4 linked regions of the Arabidopsis thaliana genome follow. The protein of the gene in region 2 interacts with the protein of the main gene of each other region in a pairwise test. Each region holds a gene or a part of one and is shown on either strand. Other genes may lie near its edges. The genes, in order: MTN1, CBL6, CIPK1 and CIPK9.

What was found.
Region 1: the proteins of CBL6 (region 2) and MTN1 interact in a two-hybrid assay, tested with the Arabidopsis thaliana proteins (one study listed by BioGRID).
Region 3: the proteins of CBL6 (region 2) and CIPK1 interact in a two-hybrid assay, tested with the Arabidopsis thaliana proteins (one study listed by BioGRID).
Region 4: the proteins of CBL6 (region 2) and CIPK9 interact in a two-hybrid assay, tested with the Arabidopsis thaliana proteins (one study listed by BioGRID).

The regions. Positions count from the first base shown.
Region 1 is NC_003075.7:18,112,661-18,116,940, forward strand, and holds MTN1 (methylthioadenosine nucleosidase 1), read right to left. Parts: upstream 2,517-4,280; 5' UTR 2,337-2,516; coding exon 2,237-2,336; intron 2,149-2,236; coding exon 2,085-2,148; intron 2,002-2,084; coding exon 1,910-2,001; intron 1,751-1,909; coding exon 1,644-1,750; intron 1,402-1,643; coding exon 1,327-1,401; intron 1,224-1,326; coding exon 1,149-1,223; intron 1,078-1,148; coding exon 985-1,077; intron 893-984; coding exon 695-892; 3' UTR 501-694; downstream 1-500. Other genes in the region: AT4G38790 (ER lumen protein retaining receptor family protein), read left to right, coding at 61-185, 269-317; AT4G38810 (Calcium-binding EF-hand family protein), read right to left, coding at 2,947-3,174, 3,361-3,489, 3,592-3,816, 4,124-4,280. UniProt on the Arabidopsis thaliana protein: Enzyme of the methionine cycle that catalyzes the irreversible cleavage of the glycosidic bond in 5'-methylthioadenosine (MTA) to adenine and 5'-methylthioribose.
Region 2 is NC_003075.7:9,241,766-9,245,518, reverse strand, and holds CBL6 (calcineurin B-like protein 6), read left to right. Parts: upstream 1-1,606; 5' UTR 1,607-1,643; intron 1,644-1,822; 5' UTR 1,823-1,849; coding exon 1,850-1,967; intron 1,968-2,046; coding exon 2,047-2,117; intron 2,118-2,201; coding exon 2,202-2,261; intron 2,262-2,332; coding exon 2,333-2,441; intron 2,442-2,522; coding exon 2,523-2,656; intron 2,657-2,747; coding exon 2,748-2,860; intron 2,861-2,938; coding exon 2,939-3,014; 3' UTR 3,015-3,220; downstream 3,221-3,753. UniProt on the Arabidopsis thaliana protein: Acts as a calcium sensor. CBL proteins interact with CIPK serine-threonine protein kinases. Binding of a CBL protein to the regulatory NAF domain of a CIPK protein lead to the activation of the kinase in a calcium-dependent manner.
Region 3 is NC_003074.8:5,988,383-5,994,611, reverse strand, and holds CIPK1 (CBL-interacting protein kinase 1), read left to right. Parts: upstream 1-1,610; 5' UTR 1,611-1,984; coding exon 1,985-2,176; intron 2,177-2,272; coding exon 2,273-2,335; intron 2,336-2,533; exon of another isoform or gene 2,534-3,396; coding exon of another isoform or gene 3,397-3,411; coding exon 3,412-3,483; intron 3,484-3,586; coding exon 3,587-3,694; intron 3,695-3,770; coding exon 3,771-3,851; intron 3,852-3,950; coding exon 3,951-4,130; intron 4,131-4,212; coding exon 4,213-4,428; intron 4,429-4,519; coding exon 4,520-4,624; intron 4,625-4,714; coding exon 4,715-4,831; intron 4,832-4,922; coding exon 4,923-4,985; intron 4,986-5,077; coding exon 5,078-5,152; intron 5,153-5,240; coding exon 5,241-5,303; 3' UTR 5,304-5,688; downstream 5,689-6,229. Other genes in the region: AT3G17500 (F-box family protein), read right to left, coding at 6,114-6,229. UniProt on the Arabidopsis thaliana protein: CIPK serine-threonine protein kinases interact with CBL proteins. Binding of a CBL protein to the regulatory NAF domain of CIPK protein lead to the activation of the kinase in a calcium-dependent manner.
Region 4 is NC_003070.9:63,648-69,507, forward strand, and holds CIPK9 (CBL-interacting protein kinase 9), read right to left. Parts: upstream 3,979-5,860; 5' UTR 3,866-3,978; coding exon 3,677-3,865; intron 3,251-3,676; coding exon 3,188-3,250; intron 3,103-3,187; coding exon 3,031-3,102; intron 2,911-3,030; coding exon 2,803-2,910; intron 2,696-2,802; coding exon 2,615-2,695; intron 2,514-2,614; coding exon 2,460-2,513; intron 2,218-2,459; coding exon 2,092-2,217; coding exon of another isoform or gene 2,086-2,091; intron 2,006-2,085; coding exon 1,916-2,005; intron 1,810-1,915; coding exon 1,684-1,809; intron 1,571-1,683; coding exon 1,463-1,570; intron 1,371-1,462; coding exon 1,254-1,370; intron 1,161-1,253; coding exon 1,104-1,160; intron 1,010-1,103; coding exon 923-1,009; intron 829-922; coding exon 751-828; 3' UTR 520-750; downstream 1-519. Other genes in the region: AT1G01130 (CBL-interacting Serine/Threonine-kinase), read right to left, coding at 1-164. UniProt on the Arabidopsis thaliana protein: CIPK serine-threonine protein kinases interact with CBL proteins. Binding of a CBL protein to the regulatory NAF domain of CIPK protein lead to the activation of the kinase in a calcium-dependent manner. Involved in K(+) homeostasis under low-K(+) stress.

The sequences.
Region 1 (4,280 bases), 8.9 Mb from region 2:
TTAGTACCTTAAAAGTCGATTTTGAATAGCTGAATACATTGTCTAATGTGCTGAAAATAGGTTGTGGACACGCGGGGACGGTTGCTTGTAGCATTGGGTTATGGATTGTGGCCATCAATGGTTCTGATCTCAGAAATTGTTCAAACTTTCATCTTGGCAGATTTCTGTTACTACTACGTCAAAAGGTACGCATTAGTCCTTCACTTCAACAGTTTAGCTATTTAGCTCTTTGTATATATCTCAAAAGTTTCAACATTTTTCTTTACAGCGTTTTCGGAGGCCAGCTTGTTCTCCGGCTACCGTCTGGAGTAGTATAAGTTCAAAAGATAGAAATACCCCAACGATGTCCTGCGATGAGCTTGACGGAAATTCTAATTGGGAAAGATAGCTCAATTTTTCTTTACCTCTGATTTCATCGTTTATGTGTCTTGAGGTTTCACCAAGTGTCTCGGTTACGAATTAATTTTACAGTGTTGTATATTTTGCCTATCAAGGGATTTAACGTCTTTCAGGTCGATAAGTTATCTTTGAAATTGTTTCTTTACCAAAATTTAAGCAACACTAGGGAGAGAACGTCTTATAACTTGAAATTTATTAACGAGAAATATGATCACTGGAAATCAGTGAAACTGCAACAAGCACGTTGAACGCATTTTAAAAAATCACTCTCCATAAAAAAGGAAGAGAACAGAAGTTAAAGGTCCGAAAGGTTTCTCCCATTGATGAAGTTGATCACTTTAGTAGCAGTTCCCTCTAATGCAGCGGTCACAACTGTCAAGTTCTGCAAGAACTCTTCTGCTGTAGGTTTATCTCCGTCCACTAGATCGGTCACGGCTTTGAGGAACACGACTGGTATTTTCAGAAGATCAGCCACATACGCCACGGCAGCACCCTGAAGAATCCAGAGCCAAAAGAGTTTCAAAACAACAGTTTCATTGATTTTCTGGTTAGATTCAGTAATAAGAATTGTTAACATTACACTACCTCCATGTCCTTTAGCGTAGCATCATTGGCAATGATCAATGTTTCATCTTGCGTGGACATATCCAACGAGTCACCAGTAGATAACCTGCCAATCTGAACCACCCCAATTTTGTCAAAATTGAAATAGTTAAAAGAGTAAGTAGCATCTTGAGTCTATTAAATACCTTCAAATTGAGTTCCTTGAGGAGATTGGGTGTCGAGAATGCCTGACGGAGACCAACTCCATACAGATCAAACATCTAGAGAGATAAACAAACATTGCTCAGGAACTTGCAAGATGAACTGGCAAAAAGGGAATCATCACTAAAGATGGAAAAAAGAAAGAAAGGAAGATGAACCTACCGGAATTGGTATTCTTCTATCATGAAACACAACATCAGATACAAGGAATACATCGCCTATGTTGGCTCCTTTGACCTGCAAATGTTCAGCCAATCAGCACTTTCATTACATGAAAATAAACCAACTTTCACAACATAAAAATAGAGATATGGAGAGAGAGAGAGATCTTTTATGATGCAACTCAAATCTCAGAGTTGAGTAAACGAGCAGTAACAAAATCAAACCCAAACCACAAGTAAAGAAAGAAGAGAGGACGTGGTTCTTAGCAAGGATGCTGGAAGTCAAGACAGAGCACACGAGAAGTAAAAGAACTGTACCTTGAAGCCACCGCAGGTTCCGGCATTGATTATGATGTCAGGTTTTAATGCTTGGATGGAAGCAAAAGTTATGAGAGAAGCTGGAACAGTTCCAACACTATCGATCCCTGGAGAGAAATCTCAGTTAGTAGCATAAAAAAAGTGCATTCATTTTCCCTCATACCAAACAATGCAGCGACTTGAGAAACCAAAGCTACTATACTAAAATGCTGAGAGATTCACAGGCTAATTATCATATCTTTGAGAGCATTGAGTGCAAAGCTTACCTAAAGCTGCATCTCTTCCGGGGCAAACTACATTGATTCGAAGATCTTTATGCACGCCGTGATACAGAACCCAGGGCAATCCTTTACCAAGCCTGCAAAAAAGTAAACTTTGAAGTGAGAGATTCATGGAGATCAAATCCAAACAAGCAAAATCGAAAAAAGGAGAGCTCTTAACGGCGAATCAGTAGTTTCAGAGAGTCCGAACTTGTTGACCAAAGGAAGAGCCTCCGCTTGCATAGCTGCAGCTCCGTCAGAAACACACAAAAAGTAAGTAAGAAGACGAAGAAGAAATCGATCGAATCGGAAACTTCATAAATCATAAAGTACCGATGACGAAGACGACTGAGGAGATCGGTCGAAGAATCTCCGATTGAGCATCGACCTCAGGTTCTTCGATGTCACTTAATCCATCTCCATGAGGAGCCATAACCTTATCCCTCTCTTCCGATTCTCGGCGATGCGTTTGATTCCCAGGAAAAATCCGAGAATCGGAAAGAAACGGCTGGAAACTCCGGCGAATGAGAGATACAGTTTATTCGTTTTTGGACCTTTTGGTCCTCTTTTGTGTTTCCACTTACCAATAATAATATAATAAAAACAAATTATTTTTTTGTGCTAATGACCGTAATTAATTAAATTTAGCTAAGTTTTTGTACTAATCTGGTCTCCTTGTAGTTTTAGCCAAGCTCTTGTAATCAAATTTTCAAATTCTTCAATTAACTTCAGAATATTTATTTCACACTTTTAAAGATAACTCAAATGTTTCATCATAGCCATTCAAGCATCATAAACGTAAACAAATTTTAACGAAATTAAAAAACAGAGTAAACATTGCATCCCATGGTCATTAGAAAAAAAAAAAAAAAGGCATGAGTAGAATCACCACACCAACAAGAGGAAACCCCAAACTTTCAATTTTATACATCTGAAAGTAAAGACGGTTTTCCTCATTAATCTAAAACTTTTGGGGGTAAACACTCAAAAGTCAAAACCATATAACATTTGTTGCTGCTAGTGCTGCTTATTCCCTTCTATGATTAGTTTGAAGGCTCCTCTGTATCAGTCGAAGTTGACGGCAGAAAGGTAGCCGAGGTGAGCGGCTCGTGAACCACCGAGTTAGAGGAAACCGATATGGGACTACCCTCGAGCTGCAACATTATACTCCCCAATATCTCTGCCATTGTTTTCTTAAACTCTTCTTCCTTCACCACATTTCCATCATCTCCATTCACCATCTTCAACGCTTCCATTATCATATTATCCATCTTATAAACAAAAACAAACTTAACTAATCAATGCCGTTCAAAAAATAAAAATAAAAATTCACTAATAATTTTTGATTAAAACACTAATTCTGGTTTCATTTGTTTAACAAATAATTGTAACATGTAAATTCAAAGGCAAAATAAACAATTTAAAAGACAAAATAATTTAGACGGGGCATTATTTACCTGGGACACAGCGCCTATTGGTGGTAAAGTGGCCGATGGTGCAACAGTGTCAAGCACAGCTCGTAGATATCCTTTAGACACCTTACCCTGACGGTCTTTTGGAATCGTCTCCATGGCAACGTTTAGTGCCTGCGACCAAACCGTTCCGGATCATCATCACTCGTTACCATCATTTAAAAAGTTTTCCTTTAGCATAAAAGCTAGATAACATATATATGTATGGTAGTTTACCTTATCGAATTCGAATTTATTGGACAAGAGCCTCCTGATACCGCTCCCATCAAAGGTGTTTTCGCTGTGAGCAACGATCACGGGCTGTTCATTGAGACGCTGAGCCACACTCTCCACGACTCTCTTGAATGCTTCCAAGAATCTCTCCTGAGACGCGCTTTTCTCTCTTTTATCTTCTTCATCAAGACAAGAGTCAACAATTGGTTCTACGATGTTGCTCATCACCTGTTACAAGGACTTTGCTTTTTAGGCAAAACTCAGTTGTCTCTAGCAACATATATAACATCAAATACGAACTTGGATACATATTACGTATCATATGTACTCCCACCATGTAAGTATCGTTCTGATATTTTGTACAACAAAAAAAAAACACCCGAAAAGTATTTTTACGGTTTTGGTAAAAATACAAAAACAAACGGTTCTTAATATTATATGCTTTATTTTATCAATCATATAAATTTAGATTTGAAGTTAAATTAGGAAAATCCATAGCTTAACAGAAATATATAAAAATAAAATAAATAGGTACCCATGGGTCGTTGGAAGGAGGCATTCCATGATCAACAGAAAGAGACTGGAGAGCTTTGACGATACAATCACGGAGCGATGCGTCCTTGCTACTGGAGAGCTCTGAGAAAACAGAAATGCTCTCGATTTCATATCCAGGGCCGTGGACAAACTCCGAG
Region 2 (3,753 bases):
ACTCTTTTTTTTTACCGCAATCTGAGAAAAAAGAGGAAACTTCTCACCAGATCTCACCACAAATTCATCACTTACACAACATACTCGATTACAAGGACATGCCCGGGTTTAAAGATTGGTGCTTTTTCCCGTAGAAATTGATCAAAAAGAGTAGTAGGGACGGAGAAATTGAGGGCAAATTTATAAAAAGCCTTCCTGAGAGATCAGAAACTACAAACAAAAAAAGCAGGAAAGAGAAAACGAAAAAAAAAGGACCAATCTTTGATTCAACTGAAGCAAGACTCTCTACTCTCACACAAATTTCTTGCTGTTGTTGTTTGTCATAGCATCAATTGTTGTTGTTCCCATACCACTCTCCATCTTCCCCCACTCACATTTTCTGCTCTCTCTTTACTTTCATCTCTTTGTTTTTTCTTTATTGCATTTATTACCCTATAGTTTGATTTGGTTGAATTTACCCCCCAACACCCCACATTTGGTCTCAGTCTAATCAGTGGTAGGCACATCAATGGTCATCATTCTCACCAATTATTAGATAGATGTTGTATTCAATTCATTAACTCACTCGTTTGGTAATGCTCTATGTTTCAAAAGATGTAAACTTTGAAGTGGCCAGATTTATGTTTTTGTGGTCAATGTCTTTCTTTTCCCACCAGTTGAGTTTATGGCTATATCAAGTTTTCTGTTTTGGTTGATATTTGTTTTCCACCACTCAACTATTCCTCATAGATGATGGAAACATATAACAACCAAGATAAGAGATAGAGATAGAGAAGGAAATAATCCTTGAGTACATATAGAGAGAGCCTAGCCTAGTTAGTTAATATCTGTGATTCAGAGTGGAAGTGAGATTGTGATGGTCTTGCAGTATAAGCCTGTGCTGACTTGGGAACACTTATTTCAAACTAATCCCAACAAAACAAACAATAAAATTTACATCATAAAGTTGAATGGTATGTTGTTTGGTATATAAAAAAAGAGGAAGCAAATTTAACATCTTTACCATTCACTTTTGATTGGTTCGTCTTCAGAATCCAGAGACTTTTGTTGGTTTGGCCGTATCAACTAGAAAAATTGAACCTCTTATATGCGAGAAGTCGCTTGTGTTCTTGGAACCAACATTTATCTTTTGTCTCGTCAGGTTTACAAAGCGCTTCTTGGAAGCTGACTCAACAGCTTGCTGTTAAATAATTACAAAGGACCTGTGAGGAGGAAGAGGTCAAAAAGAAGAAACAGAGAAGATCAACAAAGTTTGACATTGAAAAACATAGATAGTTGGTGGTCAGAAGGGCTGGATTCATTCTTTGCCAAAGCGTATCAACTTCACCTTCAGGCTTGTTTTGTGAATGTTATTCCCTAAAACAGACTTTTTTTGGTCTTCTGAATCTTGTTAGTTATGATGAATGAATCATAGTATCTTCCTTTTTCTCTCTCTCTCGAAATGTCAACTTGTTAGAGTGGTCACCAACTAAGAGTTGACTTATTTACGCCAACGAACTTGTAGATCCTTTCCCATGTCTCTGTAGCCAACAAAAACTTTTATGGAGAGAGAGAAATATCAGATCGTGGTCAAAAAAATAAACACTCTTGGAACAAGTCGTGATCTGAAGCTTCTTTACACGCTAACGAGAAAAAAAGAATAGGTATATTGCTTTGGTTCATCTTCTTCTCTTCTCTCAAAAAAGTCAAGACTAGATTCATTTGATGTCTCCATTGGATCGGCAAATTTATGTTCGATTCTTGATTTTTTTTCTTGATGCCATATGTTTAGAGGGTTTCTGTTGACATTCAATGGATTTAACCTTTTTTCTGTTTGTGGTAGGCATGGACATAGTGACTTTTGGGAGAGATGATGATGCAATGTTTAGATGGATTAAAGCACTTAGCCTTAATTCTGTTGACTTGTTGTGATGCTGATCCTCCCAAGGTTCGTCAGAACCCTAAGGATGTGGCTAGAGGCACTGTGTGTATGTGTCTACCCCTACATTTACTTTTACTATTTTTATTTGTCACAACCCCAACAATGGCTTTATGTACCAAATGCAGTTACAGTGAATGAGATTGAAGCTCTTTACGAACTGTTCAAGAGCATTAGCAAAAACGGGCTTATCGACAAGGTATGCAAGAATCCATAGTCGGACACGAGTACTATATCTCTCTGTTCCTCTACATTCACTAGGATCCTTTCAAATATATTGCAGGAACAATTTCAATTGGTACTATTCAAAATGAACACAACGAGAAGCCTTTTTGCTGATAGGGTAAATTAGATAGACTTGTAACTCACTTATATGAGTTTCCTTGCTGTACACTCATACTTCAAGCTTTGCAGGTGTTTGACTTGTTTGATACCAAGAATACTGGGATTCTAGATTTTGAAGCCTTTGCTCGTTCACTTTCGGTCTTTCACCCTAATGCTAAATTTGAGGATAAGATTGAGTGTAAGTGGTCGAGAGAGACTTGACCTTCTTTTTTTTTGTCATATCCAAACCTTGGATCAAGCTCATCTTTTGTCTCTGCAGTCTCTTTCAAGCTGTATGATCTGAATCAGCAAGGTTATATAAAGAGACAGGAGGTGAAGCAAATGGTTGTGCGGACTCTAGCTGAATCTGGCATGAACCTTTCTGATCATGTGATTGAGAGCATCATAGACAAGGTGGGTTTGGTTGATCTCCTCCATTGACACTAACTAGGATTCTCATATTTAATCTTTGACAAGAGATGTAAAAACTGATTGGTGTGTGTAGACATTTGAAGAAGCTGATACTAAACTGGACGGGAAGATTGATAAGGAAGAGTGGAGGAGTCTTGTGTTGCGCCACCCCTCTCTGTTACAGAACATGAGCCTTCAACATCTCAAGTAAGCTAGCCATGTTATTTGCCTTATTATCTTCTTCGTGCGGGACTAACATGTTTTTGTATGTTGTGTTTTGTGTAGAGACGTAACAAAGACGTTTCCAAATTTTGTATTTCACACTATAGTGACAGACACTCCTAGTGAGCTGGATGGATGATCAGGGATGTGAAGAAAGACCAAAACCCTTTACAAGATCATTCATACTTGATTCTTATCTTCTTCTCCATTACTCTATTACAACCCTCCTCTTTATTTTTAATAAATACGTTCTGAAAGCAGCATTACCTCACATGTTTGTGTATCCGCAAACTTGTTCGGTTTATCTTATCTGTTGGAGTGTGCAAATTGATTCTTTTACTCGGCATTAGTTTTATTTTGTTGCTTCTTCTTTCTTTCTATCTAAATTTGTTAGTTGGAGTAAAATCCGGACAACCATATTTTACAGGGAACCCAAATGGCGAGATAGTTTTAACATGAGAAAGGAAAGATTCATGTGAATGAGAAACTGGTTAACTTGAATCTCATAGATCATTGTATACTTGGACATTTTCCCAAGATTAGAACAAACAATACTAGATCTCTCGAAAATATCTTCATCACAGTTGCAAAGAGCCGTGGAGAACCCAACTCTTGAGCTCAAAATTGTATCAGCTAGTGACGTCAACCATATCGAATATGTCACGGACAAAATGGACGTATACGCCGTCGTTTCAATCAAAGACAACACAACTCAACAGCAACAAGCGGCCAAAACTCCCATTGATATATAACGGAGGTTCTAATCCGACTTGGAATCACACACCGTTAAGTTCTCCGTCAACGAGAGAGAAGCCACGAAGCCCAATAATTATGTTAACCAGTGTAACGTTTTTTCACCCACTTAATTTTTTGGCTGG
Region 3 (6,229 bases), on a different chromosome or scaffold from region 2:
CTAGTCATCTACACACAAAAGAGAGAGAGAGAGAGGTTCTGATAACATAGATCAATCAATATGTTACTCACTGCCGGCAGCAATACTATCACCGGCCATTTTGACACGTTTGAGAGACTCGAATAATTTTAATTATTGGTTTTTTCTCCTTTTCTATATAGTATCTATTCATTTCAGCCACATCATTTACTAACTACAAATTTTAATAAAAACCTTGGGAAAAAGATGTGTAGAGAAACATGTGACATATGACCTTTTCATTACCAAAAATATGTTGGGACGACTGACGAGAGCTAAGAACCACTACATTCTTCAATAATCTATGTATCCAATAAAAAGATATAATATGGAGTTTTCCAAATTCAAGAGATTAGCCTGGTGCCCAGGCCCTGGTTTATTGAAACTTTTGGATTCTCAAAAACAATTTATTTATTTTAATTAAATACACAAACCGCATAAGAAAAACAAATATAAATTGAATGGTTCCATGTGATTTAATTAATTGTGAGCCGACAAAGGACGAGACATGAAATATAGTATAAATTACCATAGTTTTTTTTAAAAAATATTAACTTTAAGTGTATCATTAACGATTGTGTTTCTAAACGCTTGCCTATATTGCGAATTAAAAATTTGTAAAAGTCTACAACTAATATTATTAGTCTACAAAGACAGAAACAATATAAAACTGAAAGCACCATGTTTATTTCCCCCCAAACCGAAAGCACTATCGTAAAAAAGTGTTTTAAATCTAATTATCAATTCATGCACGATATCGACGTATATAAATGGTTTATTACCAAATTATCTCTTAAACTGAAAATGCCACGACAATGAAGACCTACTGTCTATGAAACCAAGTCATAAGTTCAAAATTTCCATAGAAACGAATGGGTTATGAACGCGTTGTTTAATTTGTTGTAGTGTGTATATATAACTTGATCTTAAGTTTAGGTCTCTTTTGATCTCCTCTTTTATAACAAAGGTACAAAACTAAACTGTAACTTTAAGAAATCATAGTTGGACTTCAACTTTTAAGTAACTCCAACATGAAAACTTGGAAAGTATGTGATTCCTTGTGAACTTTTATGTGTATACAAGTTTGTTTCTACATTTAAGAACTAAAATCCGAAAGCCAAATCAAAACTGCTCCAGTAACAAGAACTATAAAACTGCAAGCACCAATCTTTTTGTAGCGTTTCTTTCTGACTTTAAACCAAAAGTTCTTATGAATATATTTTTTCATCTATTATTATTTAATTTCAACATAAAACTAATGCAACAAATGACGTGGGCCTATTGATGCATACAAGTACACACATAAAATACACACATATTCGCAATATACATCATATATAGAATTATTCTGATAAATCAATATACTCTTTGCGTATATTTTCCATATTTTGATTGTTGACAGAAATAAGATCCTTTTTAAATTTCTCCTTATAATGAACATAGACATAATTTCATTTGATAGGAGTTTTATTTGACCAATAATAATAAATCTCGATAAGTACCCTACTAAAAAAATCTTATTTCGATAATATCAAATCTTATATGGTTTGTTAGATTAATCTTTTTCTTTTGTGAAGATTAATATGTTTCTAGTTATCCAATAAAAATCTGGCTAACAAAAACCAAAAAAAAATAGTTAACGAGGAATATATATATAAAAAGAAGTGAATATAATAAGAAGAGAAGAGGAAACAAAGAGAAGTAGCGTCCTCTCTTCAATTTCAACCGGCACTTTCTTCTCTTCTTCTTCTTCTTCCCAATCTTCCTCGTCTCTTTACCTACACCTATATATATATATATATATATATCTCCTTCCCTCACACACATACCTGCACAGCTACAATAATCTACTTCCCCTCTTTCAATAACGGAATTAATAGTAATCTAATCGGAAGATTCAAGCGAGAAATCGATTTGGTTGTCTGTTAATTTGTTGGGAAATAAATTGAAATAGGAGATTGATTGGATGGTGAGAAGGCAAGAGGAGGAGAAGAAGGCGGAGAAGGGAATGCGTCTGGGGAAATACGAGCTAGGGAGGACGCTCGGCGAGGGTAATTTCGGTAAAGTTAAATTCGCTAAAGATACCGTCTCCGGTCATTCCTTCGCCGTTAAAATCATCGACAAGTCTCGTATCGCCGATCTCAACTTCTCCTTACAGGTTCCCATCTCTCTATCATCATTTCTAATTTTTTTCTTTTCTCTTCTTTTACTAAATTTGTAATTTGACAGATCCAATTCTTATGAATCTGTGCAGATAAAAAGAGAGATCCGGACTCTGAAAATGTTGAAACATCCCCACATTGTTAGATTACATGAGGTCCGTATCTTAAATTTTTGTGTATAATCATCTTTGGATTATCGAAATGATTCTGTGATTAGGAAGTAAAAAGGTTTATTGCTTAATTAGTATAACAATTTTTGATTATTCTTCTGTTTGCTTGTTTCTGTTTATTTAGTATATACCTGAGTATGACAGAAAGTGATCGAATTATTGCCTGCTTATGGATGGTTATTCAAATTTTGATTCGTCATTTTAGATTGTTAGATTAGGTTTAGTAAACTATTTTTAGTTAATTTCTTCATTGTTGTTTCTTTATCTATCAAAATGGAGCTGACGAGGATTAAAAACACCTCAAATCTTGGATAATTGTTGTTTGCTTTTTGGATCTTTTTTTTTACTGTTTAGGAATATTCTTACAAGTCATTTGGTTTCGTACCCAAACATGTTTCATTTAGCTTGTTTTTCACGTTGCCAATTAGCCGCATCATTTTACATAATTATTAAGTTAATTATTCCATTATTTGATATGGTGGCTTGGCCGGTAACACAAATCTGACCTGTTCAATTCAAAGGTGGGGTCCTAAAAAAAATTATCGTGAAAAATGCAGGATATGTCGCTTGATCATCATATAATTGCTTAATCTTAGTACCCTTTTAAGCTTTTTATCATGTGGACCCTCTTTGATCTTATGCTTAGTTTTACTTTTTATTTTATTTTATTCATATAGTATTATTTCAGATGATTATTGTATGGGTCATTGCTTGCTGTATCTTTGCGTTTTATTGTTGACTTCTAATTATTTCGATTGCTTCTTCCTCTTTGCCATTTAACACGAGATTAATCGTGACTTTTGGTTAAGCAACCATTGTGGATCTTCACTTATTTGATACACGTGGTCCACTTTTTAAGCTCGTGACTAACTTTGTCGTGTCTTGGACAACTAAGTGTTTTTTATGTAATCTGTGGATATGAATGCAATTCGAATTCTAAATGTTTCTTTTTCTTTCTTGTGACTAATCTTTTGGATTCTCAAACATGAAACATCTTACCTCAGAACTCACTGTTCCTTTACCTTGAAACTAATGGCCTCTTCCTTATGGTAATCATGCAGGTCTTGGCTAGCAAAACGAAAATTAATATGGTAATGGAACTTGTTACCGGAGGAGAATTGTTCGACAGAATTGTAAGACTCTTACTAGCCTCTATGCTCAAAGCAAAAAAGATTTTTTTTCTTTTTTTGACGAGTGTCATTTTTGCTAAACTCACACTTTGATGATAACTCTCAGGTTTCCAACGGAAAATTAACAGAAACTGATGGAAGAAAAATGTTTCAGCAGCTTATCGATGGAATCAGCTACTGTCATAGCAAAGGTGTTTTCCACAGGGATCTCAAGGTCTGTGATTCTCTCACTGTGTTTCAAACCATGGAAACCTTATGGAATAGTGTACTGATGTTTTTCTATATTGCAGCTAGAGAATGTTCTTCTTGATGCAAAGGGACATATAAAGATCACTGATTTTGGCCTCAGTGCTCTGCCTCAGCATTTTAGGGTACTTGAAAATATCATCTTAAAACCATAGCATATCACAGCAGAATTATAATTGTTGAATCCGTTCGAGTTACAACTAATTTTCTCTTTGGCATTTTAGGATGACGGATTGTTGCATACAACCTGTGGAAGTCCTAATTACGTTGCGCCTGAGGTTTTAGCTAACAGAGGCTACGATGGTGCAGCATCAGACATATGGTCCTGTGGTGTAATCTTGTATGTGATTCTAACCGGATGTCTTCCTTTCGACGACAGAAACCTTGCAGTTCTTTACCAGAAGGTAAACCTCATTTTTTCTTATATATATGCCAATTCAATACACATTTTGAAGAAATAAGCTTGATAATTGATTTGATTTCTAGATATGTAAAGGAGACCCACCAATACCAAGATGGTTATCCCCGGGTGCAAGAACCATGATTAAGAGAATGCTTGATCCAAATCCAGTCACGAGGATCACAGTTGTGGGTATTAAAGCCAGCGAGTGGTTCAAACTTGAGTACATTCCTTCAATTCCCGATGATGATGACGAAGAAGAAGTTGACACAGACGATGATGCTTTCTCAATCCAAGAACTCGTAAGAATCTGCCACCCTTACTCTCTATCGCAACTGCATTTGAGTCAAGTACAATGTCCTCATTTCTCTGTCTCTCTTTTGAATGGTCTAGGGATCAGAAGAAGGGAAGGGCAGTGATTCACCGACCATCATCAATGCGTTTCAGTTAATCGGAATGTCTTCCTTTCTTGACCTGTCCGGTTTCTTTGAACAAGAGGTAACTAATCTTCTAATACTCTGTTTCAAAGATCTGCTCTCTGCTTGAGCCAATGTATAATAAAAAGGAGTTATACTTTTACTTTCTCAGAATGTATCAGAGAGGAGAATAAGATTCACTTCAAATAGCTCAGCAAAAGATTTACTGGAGAAAATCGAAACAGCCGTTACAGAAATGGGATTCAGTGTACAAAAGAAACATGCCAAGGTGGGTCTTCACAACATGGTCTTCCTCTTCCTTAGCAACTTGGAATTTCAAATCTGTAGGTTTATAAACTTTAAACTGTATTTTGTTTCAGTTAAGAGTAAAACAAGAAGAAAGAAACCAGAAAGGTCAAGTTGGTTTATCAGTAACAGCTGAGGTATATTAACTATTACGTAAACATTATTTCACTGTTCAATAGACTATTTAGTGAGATTATTTGACTAATAGAAGAAATTCTTATGATATCAGGTTTTCGAGATAAAGCCGTCACTGAACGTGGTTGAGCTAAGAAAATCTTATGGCGATTCATGTTTATATAGACAGGTATGCCACTATTGTCATTTCTTAATTAGACTGAAGAAACACATATCAAAGATAAAAATGTTTATGTTTGATATTGGGGTTGGTGCAGTTGTACGAGAGACTATTAAAAGACGTGGGCACATCCTCGCCGGAGCAAGAGATAGTAACTTAGGTGTTGGTGTTTTCGGCTGAAGAGATATACATAGCTCTAATAATTTATCATATGGAACACACCATCCATGTTCATATAATTTATTATCTTAAGTATATATAAAAGGAGCTCGATTTATATGATTAGTGCAAATAGTAATTGCATTTAAGTATAAACCGTGGCGTAGATCTTTCCTCAAGAATTAGAGATTTTATTCACTACCTTTGTATTTGTTTTTATTATTATTTGGTGTGGCAAATCTGCCTACTAGCAAAAAAGATCCCATAAAAAATCTCTTCATTATTTTTGTAAATAATATACATGTGTTTAGTTTGTATCTGTACATCATTCAATTCCGCACCAACCGATCTACGTATATAAATTTTTAGTATTATGCTATGTTGCTTTCGTCTCATAAAATACTCTCAAGAGTCATGAGTCATGTGACCTATCAACATTTAGCGTCCTGGAATGTAACAATTGTAGTTTTAAAGTTAGTCAAATTCACAACTTGTTCTTGTTTTAGTTGGAACTTGAATGTAGTGCAAATAAGCCAGGAATCAAAATAATATATCTAGTCATAGATTAATCAAACGATTTTACTACAAAAACGCAAAAACGAATAAACAAAAAAAGGAGATTGAAGAAATTACGTCCTTACCTGTATCGACTAATACTGAACCAAACTTGGAACATAATTGAAAATAAAACGGCTCACATGAGTTCATAAAAGGAATGAACTTAGGCCATTCGCCAAAATGGATTTCTGTGTATTCACGGTCCTCCCCAACAATGTATACAAGGTTCTTGCTCGCAAGTCTGTTACTTGTCTCACAACCCACATAGCAAGGCCATTCCTTTCTCCTTGTCGATGAAGAAACTGTCATACGATAACATAGCACGACCACCAATGTCTACATCTACCGTAAAGAATTTGCTCCACTGCA
Region 4 (5,860 bases), on a different chromosome or scaffold from region 2:
TCCTTGTCTGAAACCCTAGATTCGATCTCTTTCGGTTGATTCGATCTCGCGTAATCAGATTCTGGTGAAGTGGGAACAGAAACCATTACGATTCTTTCTTCCGGAGGAGGTGAATCCCAATCACCCAAAATCTCTACACTCTCTGAATCTGAACGTTTCTCCATTCTTAAAAACTTTGGAATGCGAAATTTGCGACTTTATGGGCTTTACGGGCTGTTTGATTTGAAAGATTAGACAACTCACACAACTTATTGGGCAATTAACGTTGGTCTGCTCAACACCAACTCCTCACTAGAAACCACTCCGTCATCAATGTGTGACTGTACATCAAAATAAAACTTTTTTTTTTTGGTTGCAAACGTAGATCTATGTAGCTAAGATAACCTCTCTTTAATAATTCTATCATTGTGTTTTCCAAATTGTTATATATGTTGTGTCATTGTAACGCGTTGCCATAAAGCGACAACATCGTTGCAACTTTCAACTATACTCAAATAGCCAGCTTGCAGAGTATTTTTTGCCTAATTGAATTGTTTGAACTTTGATTTATAGGTTTCAAACCGAGTTTGAGGATGATCACATATGTGGCTATTGACTAACCTATGGTGATCTACCTCTATAGACCACTTCTAGTTCTAGTTTGGCTCTTTTGTCAGCAATACTTGTATATTGCCAACTCCAGAATGTTTACTATTCATTATACATGTTCAACATTGATTAAAAACTTTGAATTGAACAACTTGTTATTTCTTATTGCTTTTGTTCTTCAGCGGCTGCATCAGTATTCCAGACTACATCCTTTAATCCAGATGAGAAGTTTTTGTAGAACTGCAAAAGAGATTCAAACATAAAACCAATTTAAACACTAAACTAGAGATGTTAACCGGATCAAAACCGAACCGGTTTTTGATGAAGATCAAACCGAATCACATACCTTGTGAAACTCGAGGGTATCACCACCGGTTTTCCTAAGCTCTACCACATGCAATGATGGCGCCACTTCAAACACCTATTAAACCGATTACCAAACCATAACAATTAGATAACGATATTCATCAAAATCCAAAAACCGAACTGAACCGGAGTATTTTTTTCTTTCTTACCTCTGTAGCTACGGAGAGCTGACCTTTACGACCACTTTTGTCTCCTTTCATTTTTATCTGCGAAGTTTACTTAAACAATGTTTAACGAAGCTACAAAGACATTAGTTGACACAAACAAAATCAAGAAGAAGAAGAAGAAGAAGAACAGACCTTGTAGTTGTCTTTACGGACATTAAAGCCTAATGGCTTTGCGGTTTCTTCCATTTTCGACATTATTTCACTCGCAGATCGTTGAGAAGTAAACCGCGTTTCTTTCTTCACAAGTTGCTGCAAACAACAACAAATCAGATTTAGTTAGATAAAACCTATGCATGATTTTAGAAAATCAAGACAAACTGTAAGTAGAAAAAAGTTCTTACCGCTTGCTTCTCGAACAAGTTTTCAAGACTGAACTCGCTTGAGCTAGAGATAAGTTCGAAAGCGTTCATGGATACAGGTTTCTCCTTCTTCTCAGTTACAAGACATTCCTAGAGTAGCAGCACAAAAAGAGTGATATTAGTTGGTAACAATACATTGGTTTACTTAAACCGAACTATGATATACACAACCAGATGGAGAATTTGGAAATGGCGGTGTTTACCTTGGAGTTACTAAAAGCAGCATCAACATCATCTATGGTTATGTCCTCGTCATCTTGGTCAAATGATGGCGGCTTGTACCCTTTCTTGAACCATTCATCTTCGAGCAACTCTGCAATACTTATTCTCTGCATTTCAGAAATAAGTACATACTTAAGCTCTTGCACAATCTATGGTTGGCAGCATGTCATGTTCACATTTTCACAACTATTACTTCATGTAAGAGGCACTTACGGTAATAGGGTTGGGTTCGAGAATACGCTTGATGACTCTCTTGGCACCTTGCGAGAACCATGGTGGGCAGCTAAACTCAGCCTTGCATATCTAAAGTATATATTAAACACCAAAGATGAGACTAGAAAAGTACTGCAGAAGATCAAGAAGCAGAGGGAGAGATAATTTACACGTACACGTTTGTATAATGTCATGAGATTCGGCTCATCAAAAGGCAAGTAACCAGCCATAAGCACAAAGAGAATGACACCACAAGACCAGACATCTGCTGCTGCACCGTCATAGCCTTTGTCCGACAAAACCTGCCAGCAAATCCAACACAATGCAGTAGACAACATTAAAGGCATATCTCTTATATACATCATAAATAAAGAAGATTCTGCAAATGAAGTCTATATATACGTATAGCATTTGTTAGATTTCCTTCCTTTTTAAAAACGTATTAGCAGTTCTTGAATTCCTTAAAATCTTATTTTCCAAAGAGGATCTACAGAACATTTCATATTCTTTGCCTTTTTAAGTGCTGAAAGTTAGTACATAATACCTCAGGGGCAACGTAGTTTGGCGTTCCACAAGCTGTATGAAGCAAACCATCTTCCTGCATTCAAAAGAACAATGCTTAGAACACTTCATTCAAATTGATATCTTGGTTATATATATCAGAAATTAATTGCCAAGTGAAAAATATAATGGCATTACCCGAACTTGTCGTGAGAAGGCGCTTAACCCAAAATCAGAGACTTTCAAAACCCCATTTGCGTCAAGGATCAGATTTTCAGGCTGCAACAAGGAACAGATGATAACAAAAGAAACTTGAATAAGAACTAAGAAGAATGAATATCGTAATCACAGGAAACAAGAAGAGTGCACAAAAACAAAAGAAAGACCTTGAGATCTCTGTGGTAGACACCTCGACTGTGGCAGTAATCCACAGCATTGATGAGCTGCTGAAAATATCTCCGAGCTTCATCCTCCTTAAGCCTCCCTTGTTGCGCCTATGTATATGATTTAAATCCAAGAATTAACATAAGAGTAAGAAGAGAGAAAGACAGAGAACATATGTCAATATTTGTGAAGAGAAAAGAGAGGAAGATTCTCTAAGTTAGGTTACTTACGATTTTATCAAAGAGTTCACCTCCATTGACAAGCTCAAGAACGATATAGATCTTCGTTTTGCTCGCCATAACCTACCACAGAGAGATGTTTTACACGCTAAGATTCAAAACTTAATTTAAAAAATATCTAAGGAATGATAACTAATTAGTTTCGTACCTCAATGATTTCAACCACATTTGGATGTTTAATCAGTTTCATTGTAGATATTTCTCTTTTAAGCTGCACAACAACAAAAAAATAAAACTTTATGATCATTATATCTTCGAGATCTTGCTCATAACTTCCAATCATACATATATAGCATACAAAACTAAATCTTCAACAGATTCAAATCGAACCAAATCAAAAACAAAGCTACTCGAACTTCAAAACCATATCCATATCATAGTTAATAGTTATCTTGATCAATGCGTACTAAGATCAGCATCGTGTAGATATATACAGAAACAAAAACATTCATACAAAATTCGATATTTTAAAATATTATTGTTAACACTTTAATCAAACATTAACCTTAATAACCGAACACCAACCTAGGAGGACATGTGGGTCCCTAATCACGAAATTAAACTGTTCTTTATAGTACTTAAAAACAAACAAATCCATAATCATTTTACGTGATCAAACCAAACACAATTAACGAACCTGTTCGACCATTTTGTGACGGAAGACCTTTTCTCGGTCGAGGATTTTGATAGCGGCTTGATCTCCGGTGACGGTGTTCTTGGCGTATTTCACCTTAGCGAAGCTTCCTTCTCCGAGAGTTCGTCCCATCTCGTAATTCCCTACTCGCGTCCTACTCGCCGGCGTCGCCTTCCTTCTGCTTCCACTCATTTTCTTTTTCCGATTAAGAAAATCAACGGCTCTAGATCGGCGGCGAATCTATCAATGTGATTCTTCTCCCTCAATATCTCTCCTTCTTCTAGTGGCTGCCTGGTTTTAAGGCTGACGAGAGAAAGTGGACGAGCGAGAGATTTAATAGGCGCGACTGGGAGTCACGCGCGTATTGTGGGTCCCGTATGCCACGTAATGTCAAAAATCATTATTTTGCTCTGTTCCGCGTCAGTCCCGTGTTATTTGTACTTGTGTACGTTCGTAACGTTCATTCTTCATTCATATAAAAAAATTCCATAATTTTGTTCTTGTGTGGTAACTATATACAGAAACTCCTGTTTAAGTATATGGATTTTATGAAAATTTTGGGGTTTTAAATTTATGTGGATATGGTTTTATTTGTAAGGGATGTGATTTGATGTCCTTAATCTTTATGTGTATATGAGTATATCTTTCAGTGATTCATTCCATTCTACTGATGTTCAAAGTTGACTGTTATCATATTATTTGATATAGTTGTATTCTTTTCATGTAGAAATATTCTCTAAATATAACTTTTTTTTTTGTCTTTAGTTAGAAGTTGGAAACTACCTAAGAACAATAAATACATATATCAAATGTTGGTAGTTAAATGATGATTGTTATATCTTGGTCAAATTTTGTTTAAATCTATGATAATATTCGCATATACTTACTTTTGTTTAAATTTGATGTAGCTGTTTATTTTTGTTTGTAACGGTTCTAAATTTGATTATTTAAAGTATATGATAATAAATAAATAGATAATTGAAATAGTTGATCTTTCCATGTGACGATGTGAGTAAAGGGAACGGTATGAATATGAACCCCACATATCCTTCCTGATAAACTCAGAGATTTCACAGAATGTGATAATGTTTTTATTTTTCTTCTTTCCTTTATTTGTTTCTCTTATTTTCTTTCATATGATAATGCCAAAATACGCAGAAAAATTAAAAAAGTGTGGCAGACAGTGTGAGTTGATGATTTATTGCATGACTAGTAATAATGATACAATAATTTTTTAGATATGTTAGTATATTACGAACAAAAGAAAATGCAAATAATGCACAATGAACCACTCGTTCCAATAATTGAGTCCGGTACAAAAACATCACGTCACCATCATATGAAAGCAATTCATTTGGTTATCAATTTGAACTTCTTCATTCCACATTTTTTTTATTTTCCTGGTTATGAGTTGGAACTTATTGGATTATATGGATTAAAATTTAAAACCTATATAAACCAAACTATTATTTGGTTTGATTTTGTATTTACTTTCGGTTTAGCTTGGTTTGTAGATAGTTCGAGTAGACCGAACATCCGAGTCCTACATATATAAGAAAGATTGGCCCATTAACCAAATTTAGGCTTGATTGTGAATTAACATTAGGGCCCAACTAAAATACTTTTTTTTTTTTTTGCCATCCAATAACATTATTATCGCATATGTTCCGCATCATCGTTTACACAAATGATCAAATTGACCAAGTTAAGTTTCTTTTCTCTTTTTCTACATAATATTTGTTATTTAAAGCATTTGTATAAAATTATATACTGATAAGTGATGGTATATTCAATAATTTGTGTTTGTCTTTTTGTGATACAATTAATTATCCTTTATGGTTCCATTTTTTTTTCGTTGACAACGTTGAACAAAGATGGTCAAGGGGCCTAACTGTTTCTCACACAGTTTCCTTTCAGGGTTTAGTATTTGCCGTTTTAGTAACGAAGTTAGAGATTCATACGTATAATTATAAATAGTAGAGTCGGGTCAGATTGTGTTTCTTATCTAATTGTTATATATATAAAATTTGATAAAGCATATAATGTCTTGAAAGATTCAATCGTGAAATATGTGTACAAATATGTAAAATCTAGTTGCACCGCACGGCACCTTTTTTTCCTTCCTCTCCCACGTTTATTCTCGCCTCGTAACAGAAATTATAACTTGGAGTACTATTATAAAATACC